3 linked regions of the Oryzias latipes genome follow. The protein of the gene in region 2 interacts with the protein of the main gene of each other region in a pairwise test. Links are inferred from orthologs where the notes say so. Each region holds a gene or a part of one and is shown on either strand. Other genes may lie near its edges.

Evidence for each region. The genes of interacting proteins can lie anywhere in the genome.
Region 1: the proteins of eef1g (region 2) and klhl18 interact in binary tests that used the Homo sapiens proteins (3 or more experiments, as listed by UniProt). The two-hybrid records come from large-scale screens. The link is inferred for Oryzias latipes from reciprocal best matches to the Homo sapiens genes EEF1G and KLHL18.
Region 3: the proteins of eef1g (region 2) and ilf2 interact in a two-hybrid assay, tested with the Homo sapiens proteins (2 studies listed by BioGRID and IntAct). The two-hybrid records come from large-scale screens. The link is inferred for Oryzias latipes from reciprocal best matches to the Homo sapiens genes EEF1G and ILF2.

The regions. Positions count from the first base shown.
Region 1 is NC_019875.2:12,844,300-12,849,571, forward strand, and holds the start of klhl18 (kelch-like protein 18), read left to right. Parts: upstream 1-1,295; 5' UTR 1,296-1,348; coding exon 1,349-1,477; intron 1,478-2,424; coding exon 2,425-2,555; intron 2,556-2,636; coding exon 2,637-2,777; intron 2,778-2,849; coding exon 2,850-3,048; intron 3,049-3,819; coding exon 3,820-3,980; intron 3,981-4,133; coding exon 4,134-4,270; intron 4,271-4,941; coding exon 4,942-5,164; intron 5,165-5,272. UniProt on the Homo sapiens protein: Substrate-specific adapter of a BCR (BTB-CUL3-RBX1) E3 ubiquitin-protein ligase complex required for mitotic progression and cytokinesis.
Region 2 is NC_019868.2:13,732,563-13,739,175, forward strand, and holds the start of eef1g (elongation factor 1-gamma), read right to left. Parts: upstream 4,061-6,613; 5' UTR 3,984-4,060; coding exon 3,972-3,983; intron 3,217-3,971; coding exon 3,058-3,216; intron 2,971-3,057; coding exon 2,907-2,970; intron 2,605-2,906; coding exon 2,462-2,604; intron 2,351-2,461; coding exon 2,207-2,350; intron 2,106-2,206; coding exon 1,976-2,105; intron 1,647-1,975; coding exon 1,442-1,646; intron 904-1,441; coding exon 731-903; intron 1-730. Other genes in the region: polr2g (DNA-directed RNA polymerase II subunit RPB7), read right to left, coding at 4,438-4,451, 5,619-5,652, 6,276-6,347, 6,485-6,550. UniProt on the Homo sapiens protein: Probably plays a role in anchoring the complex to other cellular components.
Region 3 is NC_019869.2:21,696,313-21,701,769, reverse strand, and holds the start of ilf2 (interleukin enhancer-binding factor 2), read left to right. Parts: upstream 1-1,480; 5' UTR 1,481-1,609; coding exon 1,610-1,614; intron 1,615-1,968; coding exon 1,969-2,028; intron 2,029-2,886; coding exon 2,887-2,929; intron 2,930-3,007; coding exon 3,008-3,112; intron 3,113-3,203; coding exon 3,204-3,281; intron 3,282-3,526; coding exon 3,527-3,629; intron 3,630-3,857; coding exon 3,858-3,923; intron 3,924-4,406; coding exon 4,407-4,523; intron 4,524-4,974; coding exon 4,975-5,053; intron 5,054-5,134; coding exon 5,135-5,222; intron 5,223-5,432; coding exon 5,433-5,457. UniProt on the Homo sapiens protein: Chromatin-interacting protein that forms a stable heterodimer with interleukin enhancer-binding factor 3/ILF3 and plays a role in several biological processes including transcription, innate immunity or cell growth.

The DNA of each region.
Region 1 (5,272 bases), on a different chromosome or scaffold from region 2:
ATCAGCTTCTCTGAAACAGAAAAACTCACAGTTGTTAATCTCTCGATTGACCAACTCAGAGTTCAAGTTTAACCTCAGAGTTGGTTGAACCTCCTTTCTGAAACAGGCCCCTGGAATCCTTGTTTGTTTGTTTGTGTTAATTCTCAAAAAAAAAAGTTAAAACTGAAATTGATGTTGAAATTTCTTTTTCCTGATGGGCCATAATTTGCTTCGGTCCCATTGATTGTGTGCATTGACAGTGAATGAGAACTGGAGTGAGCTACCCCCCCCCCCCCCCCCCTCATCTTCCAAACAGGAAGTACCTGCTGGTCAAAGCCAAGCTCCAATAGACGTCTATAGAAAACCTAAAAGCTCCTTCTCAGTCATTCTATTTTTCAGAATAACCATTCTTGCTCTGATACATTTTTTTGCATGTTGTAGCCTTTTTTTCATGATTCTTTTTCCTTTTATTGCAAGTTATAAACTGACCAATCAAATGCCTCAGTAAAAGTATGTGGTCTCTCATCAAACGTTTGGAACATTTGATTGACAGATTCTCCCGAGCCCACTTTCAGGTGGAAGGAGTGTGGACTTCCAACAAGCTCTCTCCGGATTGCTGAAAGCGGTTGCCATAGAAACATTGACTCAGACTAACACAGACCGATCACTGCTTACTGATGTTGTCAGGCTCCAGTATGGTGACCTCCGAATTGCGAAAAATGGTGATTAAATGGACTTCATTCACTTGGAGCCAGAAGTAAACCATTTTCAGTGGCTGACGTGACACTCACTCATTCCAGTTCTCCTATACAGTCAAAATTCCATACATTATGGACAGATACACAACCTTTGGGGGTCTCTGAGTTTGCCAAGAAGCTGCAAACAAGTCAATTAACCAGCAAAATCCTATAGAGGCCACTAAAAGTAAAAGTATTCATGATTAATCAAAGCTCGTCACACAGGAGGAAGCTGGAGAAATTCCACTGCTGCATCTCAGTAAGAGAAGACAACAGCGAGGTCATATTGCTAACCGATGCGTCCCTCAGGGGGTTTGTACTGGGAGGAGGCCCCCATGACTAGAGGGCCTGAGTCTGGGATGCCTTGGAGTTCCTCCTGTAGAACTGAAGGTTGTATTTGTGTTCATGGAGACTGTTGCCCCCATAACTCAGCTCTGGATAAGCAGGAAAAGATGGATGTGAAAATGTATTTAAAAACTGGGCTCATAATAGATACAGTACTTAGATGGCTGCCGGTCTCAGCCTGTCAACTGTGCGCTGCGCGCGGTTGCTACGGCATCTCGAAGGGTTCCATCTGCGCAGCCGCAGCAGGTACGGTGGCTCGCAGGGGTCAGTCCGCGCAGCCGCTGACGATGGGAGACGATCTCTGCGAAGAGCTCGAGGATTTAGTTCATTTTTCGGTGCACGACCTGCCGGCGCGAGGCTATGTCGTCATGGAGGAGATCCGGCGTCAGGGCAAGCTCTGTGACGTCACACTCAAGGTAAAAACTCCCTTCGTTTGAGGCCAGTCCGCCTACCGGCTACCATGCTAACAACATGCTAACAGCAGATTATGACGAGAGCTGATCGGGTTGTGACGTCACTGCAAGGTTCTGAGACTGAGGTGTGTGTGAACGTGCCCCCTTTCTGATGGACGGGCGTTTCCGCCATCGATAAGTGGCATTAGAACTGATCACATGATCGATCACGGTGATCCGCTTGACTGCGCCTGCATTAGTGGCTTAGGTACGTCACAGGAAGGTTGTCCAGTGACTGCAGACAGCTTCAGGTTCAGAGCAGGAGCAGATCTACACACGTACACATGTATTTCCGGGTCTGAGCTAGACCTGGTCACGTGACCATGAAGGAGCAGGTGTCAGGAGCTCGAAGGCTCAGATTTTGGATTGGATTTTTCAAAACATCTGGTCAAAAAGGTGTGACCGACACCTTTCAGTGGCCAGTGCCTCCAGCAGCATAGAGCAGCACCATCAGCACCAGAACAAGCAGGTTCTGTTGGTGTGTTTTCCGGTGCTGTAAGCTAGTGGAAGAGAATTAAACCGATTGATGACAGGAAGAGGTTGGGCTCACCCCGCACCGACTGTACTGTAATTTCTGACCAATTACTGCTCTACTCTCCAGAAACTATGTCCTAGAAAACCACACAGATTTTATGAGATTTTGGCTAAAGTCGACGTGAAAGACCAATTTTTACTTTCATTCAAAAGATGATGAGAGTGGGACTTTAAGGGGATCTAACAGGACTTTGCTTCTTGACGGATTCAAATGAATTTCATGTAGTTCTCTGGTACATTTTGGTGTGTCTTGGTCACAGTCTCGCCTGTCTTGGGATGCTGAGTGCAGTTCTTTCAGCTGGAGCTGCCTGTAACCTGAGAACATCTGTTGAAACAGATCATAGAACAGGTGATCTAACCCGAGGTTCCACCTGCAGGTGGGCGATCACAAGTTCAGCGCCCATCGCATCGTCCTGGCGGCCTCCATCCCTTACTTCCACGCCATGTTCACCAACGACATGGTGGAGTGCAAGCAGGACGAGATCCTCATGCAGGGCATGGACCCCAGGTAAGCAGCTGTGGAGGCAGGGCGTCAGGTATGAGATGCTCAGGGTCAGCAGAACCGGAATGAGCAGTGTCTTTGCTGCAGCGCTCTGGAGGCTCTCATCAACTTTGCATACAGCGGCCATGTGGCCATCGACCAACAGAACGTTCAGGCTCTCCTGATCGGCTCCAGCTTTCTCCAGCTGCAGAACGTCAAAGACGCCTGCTGCTCCTTCCTGCAGGAGAGGTGAGTGCCGCGGCACTGGCCTGGAAAACTGTCAGATCCCGCTGTCAGTGGAGTAACTGTGTTCTGGGTCAGGTTACACCCCAAGAACTGTCTGGGCGTTCGACAGTTCGCGGAAACCATGATGTGCACAACGCTGTACGACTCAGCCAACAGCTACCTTCACCAGCACTTTGTGGACGTCTCCCTGTCGGAGGAGTTCCTGGGTTTGAGGACTGAGGAGGTGCTGGAGCTGGTGGGCTGTGACGAGCTCAACGTGAAAGCAGAGGAGCAGGTGAGAGGCATCATGGGAGATGTTCTAGAGCAGCGGTCCCCAACCCCGGGGCCGCGGACCGGTACCGGTCTGTTGTTCATTTGGCACCGGGCCGCACGGAAAGTATAAAGAACTTGTATTACTTCCGTTTTATTTATTTCAGAATCTGAAAAATGTTTTATTTTGAAAAATTGCCCGATTCTCTATGTCGATCTTGATGCAGGCCTAGGCGCTCTTCTCTGTCACGTTATATGATACCGCTAAAATAAAACCCAGGAGCTAGCAAAATGAGTAAAAACAAACGTCTTGAAAGTTTCTTTGCCAAGGGGAAAACGCCCAGCCAGGAGACAGAAGAGGGAGCCTTCCACTTCCAGAAAAAAAGAAAGCTACATTTGATAGACAGTACTTCTATTTTGCACCATGAGTGTGGGAATCGGAGAGGATGATGACAGCTGTGCGAATTACAATGTTACACATGTCAAAATAAAAGCTCAGGACTCACCTTGTTACGTCCATGATCCTTTTTTTATCATAGCGTTGCTACATTAATTGTCAGCCCACACCTGAGAAACCGGTCCGTGAAAACTTTGTATGATGTCCTACCGGTCTGTGGCTTTAAAAAGGTTGGGGACCACTGATCTAGAGGGGGATGCCGAAAATTTCTGAATGAAGACACATGGTTATATTGTGGAAACCTAGGGATACCTGTGCAGGTGCACGGCATCTGTCACAATCACATGATGGCGCCATGTTCAGGTGTGTTGATGGGGTTTGTATGTGACACCTGTGTAGGTGTTTGAGGCGGTGCTAACGTGGGTTTATCACGACCGGGAACGGCGGGAGTCCCTGCTCCCGGAGCTGCTGTCAAAGATCCGACTTCCTCTGTGCCGCCCTCAGTTCCTGTCGGACCGGGTCCAGCAGGACGAGCTGATTCGCTGCTGCCACAAGTGCAGGTGAGTCCATAGCACTGAGATGCTCACAGGTGTGTAAATCTTTCTATACAAGATGGTAAATATTTCTTTAAACGTGCCTGCTCTGCTTGTTTTATTTTTGATTCCTTCCTGATTGATTGGCATGTCACTGATCAACGGATCCATTCTTCTCAGAGATTTGGTCGATGAAGCTAAAGATTTCCACCTCATGCCGCAGCGGCGTCCACATCTCCCCCCCTTTAAAACCAGACAGAGGAGCTGCTCCTCCATCACAGGACTCATCTACGCAGTTGGCGGTCTGAACAGCTCAGGTCAGCTGCTCATCTTTAGTAAATTCAATTCATTTAGAAAACTCCAGTTTATTACTAAGGTTCTCTTTAAGGACTACAGAAAAACATTAAAACGTCAGGCAGATCTTTATTGAATATTATGCTATAATCAAATTCGATGGCCGCTTTCAGCCAGACTTCTATCTCTCTGTGTCCCCCGAGTTGCTGTCCTGCAATAGTCAGGGGACGGAAAAAATAAAGATGAGAATAAAATTAGACAACTTTTTTATTATTTTCTGGATTACATCATCAACACGTCACGGACCAAAGCTTAGTTTCTGATTGGTTGATAGACGCAAATTCTTCACCAAAGTTAAGATGGTATATTTTCCTGCTGTCCAAAATAGGCTGCCGCCAGATTGCGGCGTATACCGCACAGATACCCGACGCTCAAATCGCACCGCAGCCCCTCTTTTTGCGCCTGTACATTGACTTAACATTGAAACTAGCCGCCCCTGACACGTGAATTGCATTCAGTGTGAATGTAGCTTAAGAAATACAATAAAAAGAGAAAAGATCTTTTGTAAAGGCATGAAATAAAACCTAATTTATAATTTAAAGATTCTCTGTGTTTTAAGCCTTTAGACTTGGACTAAACAGTATTGGACTAAGAACAGAACCCTGTGGTACACCTTGATCTCTTTCTTCCACAGGGGACTCCTTAAACCTGGTTGAGGTTTTTGACCCATTGGGGAACTTTTGGGAGCGCTGCCAGCCAATGAGGACAGCTCGCAGCAGAGTGGGAGTGGCTGTCGTTAACGGTCTGCTGTATGCCATTGGTGGCTATGATGGACAATCGCGGCTCAGCACAGTAGAGGTGTACAACCCAGAGGCAGACAGCTGGATGCAGGTCTCAAGCATGAACAGCCAGCGCAGGTCAGTTATCAGACAGATTGAACAACCCTGGAGTTAACCCTTTAACACCAGAGCTTGAGCTCCAGTATCGACGTTCTTTCAATTACCGTAACTCTTCAACCGTTGACG
Region 2 (6,613 bases):
TCCAGGGTGAGGTGTGTACAAATATTTAAGTGATTTGGCAGGTCTTGAAGTCCCGTTTAAAACCAACACACCCATGGCTTTCCCAGTACATCACTAGACTCACCGGTCATTGTTTTTAGACAAACATGCAGGATTTCAACACTAAAAGAAAAGTGGTAAAGGTGTGTGTAGATATCCATTTGGCAGGCAAACATATTTGAGAATACAGGAAGTGATAGGAAATGGGGCCAAAATACAATTAAAAACATTTCTGATCTTACTTTTTCAACAAAATAAACTTTACTATCAGTTATAACACATAATCCAGAAACCGTTTGAAGGGTGCAGCTCCTTTGTGTTGATCAAATAGATATACAGAATAAGCCTACTAAACTTATCCCTGCATTTGATCCACCCTTTGGACAAACCAGTTTTAAAAACCAAAACTGCAACACATTCACTTCAAGGGATGAGTCTAAAAACTAAAGGGTTGGTGCCATAGCAACATCACCATTTAAGTTAAAAATTGATTTGAAAATAAATGAAGAAATCACCAAAAATATCAATGCTTAGAACAAGTTCTTAAGCGAAGAGTGTTATGCACAAATTTCTAATTAAAATGTTACACTAAAATCCCCTACATGGTCTCCTTTATCTTCGTGTTACTGACTAAACAAACATTCCACTACTTTTATGGAAGATGCAAAAAGTAATGAATTGACAATACACCAGCCAACCCCTTTGGTCTCACCTGTAATAAGGTTGCAGCTCTTGAAGGTAAGTGTGAGTTCTTCTGGGTATTTGTACTGACTGTACCAGATGGAGTAGCCCTCGCGGTCAAAGTGCTCCCAGAAGTGAGGAATTGCTACAGTCAAGGTGTCCTCGTTGGAGTACTTTCTCTTGAACTCGTCAAAGACAAATGTGCTTTTAAAACAGAAACAAACAACACGGAGATCATTGTTCTGCTCTTAACTAAAGCAGAATTAAGACAGCAGACCATAAATGCAATTACAAAAACATCAAAACGAAGCCCAACATGATGAATGTCTACCATTGTTTTACATTTACAACAAACAAATGTCAAAATAAATGTACCATGTTTCAGCATGACTTTACCGTTATCCCAACACCATTTCACATTAACCAGATTTTGTCCCATCAATGCAAAATGTGAGGATGTGAAAGTAAAATAAAATCAGAGGTAATCTCAGGTTTAATGCACTGAATGCTTTTGATATACAACATGTGGCCACAGCATGAACCAGCCTTATACCCACTGAAATAGAGATGACTGGGATGAATGTGGTCTTTTCTTTCTTTTCCCCCGTCTGATTAAGACGTAATGCCATGATTGGACACAGTCTTGCCCAATCACAGGGGATAGAGTACTCCAATTACACGTTTGAAACCATCTATAACTACTGGTACAAAGTGATTGAATGCAACACTGGACACTGGGTACCTTTTTGGCAGGTGAGCAAAGGGATCCTTTGCTTTAGGCTCTGCAGCCAAAACAGCATCACAGTCATCCATTTCTTCTTCTGGGTCAGGCTTGCTCTCCTCCTTTTTCTTTTCCTTCTTCTCCTGGGGCTTGGCTGCCTCTTTTCCTCCCTTCTCTTTTTTGGCAGGTGCTTCCTTCTTAGGTTGCATTTCAGCAAACTTCTTTGCTAGAAGAAAAGCACGGCATGGATTATTCTATGAAGAAGATGCTTGAGTCAGATTATTAAAAAAAGTTGGAAAATGAAAAGATATCTTCATGTTATGTTTGGATTAACCAGTGACGAGCATGCACCCTGCATGACCAGATGTTTCTGCTTTATTCAAACTTTAGTAACCATGTTAAAAGTTTAAACAATAAAGCTTTCCGGGGGGAACATAAGAGATGTCAGTTCACCTTTGAAGCCAAATGTTGTGCAATAAAACTTATTGGTATACAAAGGGAAAATAGTTTTTAAATGAATCCAGGGTTCTAACAAGTACATTCTTGTTGACTCACCATCAAACTGTGCCATCTTTTCACACAGCTTGACATCCCCGAGGACGGCCTTGAACTGGGGCTGGTTGACACAGGTGACAAACCAGCGGGTCACGTTAACATAGGGCTGGCGGAAGGAAGGCTCCAAGACCTACAAAAGATAAAACAGGTCAGCTCATTTATGGAAAACACACCAGCTCAAATAATGCTGGAGGTTCCACTTAACACAGTGAAAAGTGTCAAGCTGCATACTTGTTTGTAGAGCCAGAGCAGGGAGCAGGCCACCGTGATGTCCGCAAGGCTGATTCTCTCACCCACAAGGAAAGTGCGAGTGTTCAGGTGTTGGTTCAGGACGGTCAGGATCTTCTTTACATCTTCTTTGGCCTGCTCTGTGGCCTACACACCAAAAAAAAAAAAAAAAAAAATAGTTTAAAACTTAACAGTTAGCCAGTGATTTAGAATCATGTCACAATAACCAAATAATCCAGAAAATAAAGACTTGCATACCTGCTTGTTGAACTGCATAATTCCCAAAGTAGGGAAGACCCATGTGCTTGCTGGAGGGATGATCTCAGAGTCAGCAAAGCTCACCCACTGCAGCACTTGCGCTGCTGCCTGAGGCGTGGCACCGCGCAGGGCATCATTGCTCACTGTAGGCCACAAGCCAGAAAAACAACCGGTTGATCTTTGAAAACCAAAAGCCTCATACAAATTCAAGACAAATGAGTTTCCATGGAATGAACAAAGCAGTTAGTGGATTTATGAAAACACGAAATTTAAACAATTCATAAAACCATACTGCAAAACCCCCAAATTTAGCAACATTTGCTAACAAGGCTTCACTATCGTTTTGCCTCAACTCAATAGAATTGATTTAGAGAATCTGGATAACAATTAAAGCAACCTGTTCTGACCGTTTAGAGAGACTAAGAAGTAAAAAAATGTGACTTACAGTAGTGAGCAATGGCATTACTCTCAAACAGACAGAAGCCGTCATCTCCCTGGTAGGCAGGTACCTAGAACCACAGGATTTGATGCTGTGTGAAACCCAACTAGTTAATGAGGAAAAGAACAAGACTTGAATGTGACTGAGCTGCCCTCACCTTGCCCAACGGGAAGTTATTAATAAAGGCAGGGGTACGGTTCGTCTGTCCGAAGGTGAAGGCAGGGGGGGTGCTGGCGATTTTGATGCGAGCACCACTGTACTGGGCAGCGATCTGGGCTTTGAAGGCCCGCCAGTTCTCCGGGTATGTGTAGATAGTCTGAAATACAGGAAAACTTCTATCAGCTTGTGACTAAATGTATTGAATCCATCTAGTTATGCAATCTCTGTGCACGTTTCTATGATTAAACTGCTTTAATGCAGGTCCAAACCTAATTTAAACTGTATTGTTTCATATGAGAAAAGGTTTAGACTGAGGTAATGTGATAACGATGCCAGCTGTAGCTAATCCTGGCTAATGAATGAGCATATCAGAAACGGAGCACTTTTAAAAAAGATTTTACCAAAAGTAAATACATATGGAATACCAATAGGCTGAAACGCCTCTTAAACTTAAGTGGCATGGTTACATTGTTTTAGAAACAAACTAGAAGTAAGCTAGCTTAGCGCGACTTGTGCTTTTTGTAAGACTAGCAAACCACATCTGATCTGTTCACTTATTTGATTGGTTCGATCAAAAGAATAAAGAGGATCTGGGGATTTTTGTTTTAATCATTCTAAAAAATGCGTCGGTCATAAAGTGGCATGGCCACGGAAAATTTAGGAGCATCATCCCCAGTCTCACGAAATATTGTAACGTGGCACAACCGAGTTAGCCATTAAACAGGCAGGATTGTTAGCGTCTTCTTAAATATAAATGACAAATAAACCCTCTACCAACTAAAAAACAGCAACATGGTCTAATGTGTCTATTAAACGACACAATAACAGAGCAGATGACATAGATACGAGACGGATTGTGACGAAAAGGTTGAAAGAAAACTCCATTGTTGGCCTCCTCTCCATCTTACTCACCCCTGCCGCCATCTTCAGGACGAGAGAAAGAAAGAACGACGGCGCACATCAGTGACGTATTTACGACCGTGACACGTGCCCATCCATTTTGCTGCGCACGTGACTGAGTTTTCAAGTGTTAGAAGATAAATATTGGACACTCCAACAAATACTTTGTCGACGTATGTGATTAAAAAAATGATACAAAGATAAACGAAAAAGTTAAATCTTTTATTACAAAGTACAAAAATGATACAACTAAATTTGAAGGTATGTATTCCACTTAAACCAAATTTATATATATATAAAAACACAAAACTGCAGAATTAATCTCTTGACACCAATTCAACTAACTAAAATAAAGAATGTTAATTTATTGGAAAAAAAACAGCAAGGCTTTGACTAAATCCTACCATAACATGAATATAAATCATGAAGTTATTACTACATAAATTGTCCCAGGTGGTGAGCACTCAGCTGAAAGAAATCAGCTCACGAGACCTTAAAAAAAAGAAAAAGCCAGGGTTAGTTTGATATAGAATCTGTAAACGGCATAATATATATATATATATATATATATATATATATATATATATATATACACACTTCATTATGTGCATTATTCTGTAACCGTGTGGACGGCCTGAGGATGACTAATTTGAACATTGTTTATGACTGACAACATCAGCACAATCTCCACCCGAGTTAGACAACAATTAAAATAATCAATTATAAATCGAACAGTGCTTCTGGTGTTCGACATTTTGACTGAGAAAATGCTTCAGGTTATAGAATTTTTTATTTTTTTTTAATTGTAGATGAACGAGTTGGGCTGGGTGGCAGTTTGGGTTACGCTAAGTTTGCCTTCAAACTTAAGTTAAAATTATATTTTTTATTCAGCAAAGCATTTGTGTTACCAACGTGTGAAAAGTGTTTTAAAAAATAATTTGATTTATGACCTATATCACTTAAGCATGATTATGCATATTCAATGAGTTTTGGTCCGTTTTATTTAACAAGAAGAGCAGCCTCTTTCGTGAAATTTATTTTGAATTCTTCTCTTACATTTGGACAATATTTTATTGCTTATTAATGCCATTTATATGCAATTTACAAACTGAAATCTGACAGATTTACTTTCTGAGTAATACCTTTTCAAATAATAATCACTGTGATTTAAAAATATGAAAATATTATTGACCAAATGTTACCATTAAATCATAATACTGCATTGAAAACTGTACTAAAACAAATGACAATTGTATACTGTGAGGTATCAATTGCGTTGAAAATGTACTGTTTATGGTAAAGAATCACTGAATATTTGGAAGAATTAATAAGTTATCTATTTTGTGAGATAAAGGAAGTTGAAGATCATTTTAAGAAGGTCCTTCATGTAAAACTAAATCCTAAACTTCAGTGTATAAAATGTTGTACGTATGTTTGAATATTAGAATTTCCAAATGCTGGCACTGAATGAATTTGATGACAGTTAAGAAAAATAATACAACACGAATGAAAATAAATTTTAATTTAAAATAGTAACCAAACATATTTTAGATTCTAAAGTATGTGTTCTTTTTATATAAAGATCATCATCGTCTAGTTATGTTGTTGTTTGATTGAAAAAAAAAAAAAAATAATTCTGACTTGACATTTAATACTCACCCAAATAATCATCCATCAGAGATCCGATGGCAAACTAGAAAACAAAGAGGAAACTTGTTTCAATGAATAGTTTTGCACAATTCTTTACATGGGTATTTCGACAAGCAGATGTTTTAGTGAGGTTGCTTTTATTGTAATCAGGCTTTTGACTAACTGTCAAACCAGATCCTGCTGTATTCAAACTAAGCTTGTTGTTCTTCTTTTAAATGGTTTGAAAAAACACCAGAAAGTCAAAGAAAGGAACATTACAAGAATCCATATGGACCTAAAGTCCCAATCCAATCATCTTTTGATCTATTGTTAAATTGTTCCCAGTGGTCTTTTCATTAGGATTGTGCTGCTTTTGGCCAAAAAAAACAACAAAAAACTGTGATGTTCTCTGGGACATAGTTTCTGCCGAATGGTAGGAACCTTCATCAGAGATTCACCTCTGAGTTGTCAGCGGGACTATTGGTGCAAAGTAATCCTGCGCTAATTTCGTATCAATCCTCCGTCTACACTCTTTCCCACTAGCTTACAGCCCCAAGATGACAATAGTGCGAGGAATTTTTGGAGCTATCCAGTCCTGGCAGCTCAGTCAAGGAAAATGAAGATGTTAATGGATCTGTGTCGCTACTGGTCAAAAGATCAAAAATAATATTTATGGAAAAAACTTACAATGTCATTCTTGTCCACTCGTGTTCCCACAATCTTCAGTCGAATCTCATCATCTTGCTGGATTACAATGTCCTAATAAACACAATAAGAAATGTTCATTAAAATCAAATGTATCACAAGGATTAAAAACTGAAAGAGAAAAGTAGCCTTCAATGTCTCTGCATGCTAAATCTACTATTGCATAAAACAGACAGAGTAATGACACATACCTCGTCAACTGTTTTATAGCAAGGTGGATTGGAGTTGGGATCAAATTCCATTTCTGAAGGGATCGACTGGGAGAATAAAAAAACAATAAAATACACAAACAATAATATAAAAACATACCTACATATTAG
Region 3 (5,457 bases), on a different chromosome or scaffold from region 2:
AAACCTTTTCAAAAAGAGGAGATTGGACCCACATCAGAGTCATGCTCAAAAAAGTTGAGTTTTATTTTTATTTTGTTTAAGGTTTGTTTGTTAAACGTACAAAAAGAAACCACATTTACGTAGAAGAAATAATTATTTCCCTGTTTTCTTTCCAGAACTAGTAACATTACTTAAACCTCACAAGAAATGCATTCAATAGTCTTTTCATGTTTCTTATTGCTAACAAAACTCCAGAGGAGGACACAAGTGCAGACCTGTTCATTTTATTTCATTTTAAGTAGGGGTGTAACAATTAAACGACTCGATGAATTAATTTTTATTCGTACGATCCAACCAGATTGATCTATCTGAGGCAAGTTGTTTATCGAATCAAATCAATCTATACTATAAAGTCATTTAAAAATGAAAGAAATTGATTATTAATATTTGAAAATCACATTTTGATTGGTTAGTTTGTGTTACTATATTGTAAAAATGACCAAGTGCAATCACAGCGGACAACACACATGATGTCAGCAAAAAATGATCCAGCATTGTTTCTACACCCCTCTTCAAGAATATTGGTGATACAAATATTGTGTGGACCTGTCTGTGTGCGAAAGTCTTGTGGGATAAATCTTCCATCATGAATGTAGGAATATACTTCCAATCTGTAAATAGATGTGCAGAGAATTTGTTGATGTGTGAACTAAGTCATGCAATTTACTTATGACACTCGTATGTTTTGACCTTGTATTATCTAACCCCTCATCCCCTGTCTCCAACATCCCACTCTATTTCTTTCTTTCTTTCTTGTTTTCTTCCGTCTGATTCAACATAGATCGCATACAAAAATAATTATCATAAATAATGCTTATAGCCTCAAATACAAAAAAGGGGTTTTATACAAATCTACACTCTGTTTGTTGTTTGTCTGAAGATCCATAAACCCCTATTGTAACAGTAAAATCTGTCCAACAAGAGATCTTCAGTTCTGATCTGCTAGCTCAGCTGTTGGTCAAGTTAAAATAAAAAAAGATCAGTCCGTCAATATGATCCAATGTGTGGAAACAAAACACAGACATGTGACCAAACAGTGTGCTAGAATGTTCTAATAATGTTCTGTTTGTATTATTTTGATGTGATTTTGATGAAAACTTCCCCTGCACTGTTCAGTATTTATGTCTTAAGCCACACTGGTTGAAGGTTTGCCCAAAGATGTCCTGGATCAACTTTAGGTTAGTCAGTTAATCAGATCAAATTGGATCATTCAAAATGAACCAATATCGAAAGTGAATCGGATCAGCAACCACAAAATATGTGAATCGTTGTTATAGTGAAATGTCACATCGCTTATTTTAGGGCAAATTAAAAAATATTGTACTGTTGTAAATGTTGCATTTTTATATTATATTCTGAAAATGTTCAATAAAAAAGCTATATAAATAAAAGAGGTTGCACTTTTAACTCCTGGTCTGTAGGGGCAGCAGTGTGCTGTGAGCCTTTCCTCACCGGAAGTTTCACTAGCGCTGCCCCAGTCTATGTCCGGTTCTGCGCCTTCATTGCAGCAGCTGCAAATCTTAATTCTTCTCGTTTGTTTTATATTTTCGGAATCAAAACGTCTTACACGATGAGGTAAGCATATATTTATTCATTTTATTGGCGTCGGTGGTTGAACACGCTGCTCTTGTTGTTGTATTTTGATTTGTGTCCAGCCTGTAGCCGCGTTAGCATAATAACCTGTAAGTTAAGCAGCGTTTCCCTCATGTGTTTCAACTCTTTTTTTTTTTAGTTTAGGAGCCAATTCTGTGAATAAATTCACGCGTTTTCGTACACAGTTTTGTTTTTAGGCTATTTATATACTTATTTGTGTGAATTAATGTCAATAATCATTCTTCGTGCAGACCACTAGCTCCCATCAGATTATGTGTGTATGTCACTATGTGGCCTAATCATTTTTGTTTTATCATCTGTTCCCTTTCTGTGCAGAGGAGACCGCGGAAGAGGCCGGGGAGGGCGCTTCGGAGCCCGCGGAGGCCTGGTCCAGGGGTTAGTGTCTGTTTCCCAAACATTTTCAGAAAACAAAGTCTGATCGGTTCGTGTTGGCAAGCTTTTCTGCCCCCTACATTTTCCTTTCAACAACCCTCTGAGCCAGCTTGCTGATTACTTATATGTCTCTAGTCTGTCAGAAACTGGACACCTAATTCTTGAGGATCAGAATCAAGATGAACGGGGCTAGCTGGAGTAGAGGACCATGATGCTAGGATTGTTGTAACCTAAGAACACTCAGGATAAAAAAAAATCTAATATTCTAAATAGATTGATGACTAAAGATGCCCCCCCCCCCCCGACCTGTAACTTTGAAAAACCAACAGCAGTGTTGCCCATGTTACGAAAGTATTGCCTAAAGTATTAAATCACTTATTCAAATAATTAAATTGTGGCATTCCAGTCATTTCCATGGCCACAGACGCATAAAATGAGTTCTTCTGCAAACATCTTAAGGGATGTTGCCATCCCAGGAGATCAGTGAATTCCAGTTGTCAGAAGCTGTTCTCACCCCTTCCAGTTCAAGTGAAAGGAAGTCTGAATGCTGTAGGACACCAAGAGATTTAAAAATTTAGAAATGTTGCTTCCTGGTAGCACCATGACTGTGCACCACTGCTAGAAGCAGGCCCATAAAGACATGGATGAAGATGATGTGGAGTACAAATGGATTATAACTTATGATCATGCGTGTAAAGTCAAATGAGTGGCTACTTTTGCCATATAGCATGTGTCTGATGTAACAGTGAGAAGGTTTGAGCTTAAAGTGAGTAGTTAAAATCTCCACTTTATGCACTTTAAATCTTGGGATATAAATGTTTACATATGAACGTATGCTTAATTTAATCATTTTTTATGCAGGTACCGCCCGTTTGTCCCACACATCCCGTTTGACTTCTACGTGGTGAGAACAAGTGAACATAGCTGGAATATCGATGCAGAATAAGTGTGAGTCTTGACTTTCACTCCTTTCTTCCACCAGTGCGAGATGGCCTTCCCCAGAGTGAAGCCTGCTTCTGATGAGACGACCTTCAGCGAGTGTCTCCTGAAGAGAAACCAGGACCTGAGCCCCACGCCAGCAGAGCAGGTCTGACTCGGACTCGCCCAGGAACTTTCATCATCATCATCATATGTGCTTCTAACACATTTTGTTCCCTTTTTTTTTTTTTTTATAATAGTCCTCTATCTTGTCGTTGGTCACAAAGATCAACAACGTCATTGACAACCTTATTGTTGCTCCTGGAAACTTTGAAGTGGTGAGTTGCTCCACTAAAGAACCTTTGGTCCCATTTGAAGAACCTTTGGTCCACAGACTAAAGCAGCTTCAATGAACATGTAGATACATTTTTAACAATGAGGTGAAATATGAGGGATACTGCCGGTACATTTTTATTTTAGGCAAAACCAGACTGATTGAAGTATCTTTAATTCAATCACAGCCTTCTGTCACAATCCATGACCCACAACAATGAATAATTGTTTTTTTTGTGCCTCTTGACAGCAAATTGAAGAAGTCCGTCAGGTGGGTTCCTATAAGAAGGGAACCATGACTACTGGGCACAATGTTGCAGACCTTGTAGTCATCCTGAAGATCCTCCCAACATGTAGGTCATGAGTTTCTCATCCGGATGTTGTCAGATTCTTTTGTCTGATCGACTGTATGAGAATGGTTCATATATGTTGTTGATGCATCAAACATCCCAGTGCATCAGCACCGAATCTGAATTTCTCCTTAAATATTTTTTTTCAAACTTGAATGATGTTTTTTAGTCACATTTAATGGTTGTGAAAAATTGTGTCTTTATGTCCAAATATAATTTTGTTCTTTTTAGTGGAGGCTGTTGCTGCTCTTGGCAACAAGGTTGTGGAAACTCTCCGCACCCAGGACCCTACTGAAGGTAAATCACAGAGATCTCCTTCAATGAGTTAAAGCATCAACGTGATTTACAAGTTTACCCTAAAAATTGCTTCTGAAAATTTATTAAAGCTATTGTAAGATTTGCAGGAACTTTTTTTAAAGCATAAAAAATAATTTAAGTCCTACATCAATCATCTTTTGATCTATTGTAAAATCGTTCCCAGTGGTCTTTTAATTATGGTTATAGAATTTTTAGCCAAAATTCTAAAAACCTGCTGTTTTCTAGGACATTTTCTGCAGAGCGGCAATAGTTCATCTGAAACTCGCCTCTAACTTGTGGGTGGGGCGCGGAAGTAAACCTCCGCTTATTTCCTATCGTCACTTTTGTCCACACGCTATCCTGCTAGCTTACAGATGCTCAATACCCCAACCCTGTGCTGATTTGTGTTGTTCTTTTCTGTTAACTGTGTTTAACTGTGGGTGACTAAAACTGTTGTTTTTCTGCGTGTGCTCCTCCTATCAGTTCTGTCCATGCTGACCAATGAAACCGGATTTGAAATAAGCTCGGCTGATGCTACAGTTAAGATTCTCATCACCACCGTTCCACCCAACCTGCGCAAACTGGATCCAGAGTTACATCGTAAGAGAGCGCACACCCGCACAGCACTTTTATAGGAATGAGGCAGGCTTGTGAAATAATTGATCAATGTTGTTTGAAGAATGTGGTCTGAGCAATCATCTACTTCTTGTTGACTTTAAAGTTTGACAAATGATTCTTTGTTGATGAAAATCTATTGTTTTAATTCTTTAAATTTTTGATTTCTTCGGCTCTTATAGTGAACCAATTATTTAGCAGATTGGTGTTTCTGTCTGAGTGAAAAGTTCATAACTTATAGTGTTGATATTTTACAATAAATCGGTGTAGACTTACAGTTTGGACCTCTCCCAACATCTGTCAAATAAACATCTGTGGGTTCAGAAACTTGAGTGGAGCTGTCAATGTATCCATAATTCTGGTGGAGGTTTGATGTTCTGGAGGCTCTACACATTCACTTTACCACCACAAAAATGCTCGTTTTTTTTCTTTCTAGTGGACATCCGAGTGCTGCAGAGTGCTCTGGCTGCCATCCGCCACGCCCGCTGGTTTGAGGAGAACGCTTCTCAGTCGACGTGAGCGCCCCGCTCGTCTCTCTTTGTGTTTCTTGACGTGTGATGAGTATCTGTGAACTGTTGCACGTTGATGATCTTCAGGGTCAAAGTTCTGATTCGCCTCCTGAAAGATCTCCGACTGCGCTTCCCTGGATTTGAACCCCTCACCCCCTGGATTATTGACCTGCTGGTAAATCACACTGAAAAATACACAAGCACAAGAATCACGTGTTAAGAGGATGCAGGAACTGACATTTAGTTTTTCCATAACGCATTTTTTTTTTCAATTAAGCATAAACAATATTGCACATTTGTTGTGTGTGTGTACAAACATTTTGAAACCATTTCTTTAGTGAAACTGTAGTAAGCCCTGCTAATCTCAGTCTATGGTTCGTTGAAGGGCCACTCCGCAGTGATGAACAATC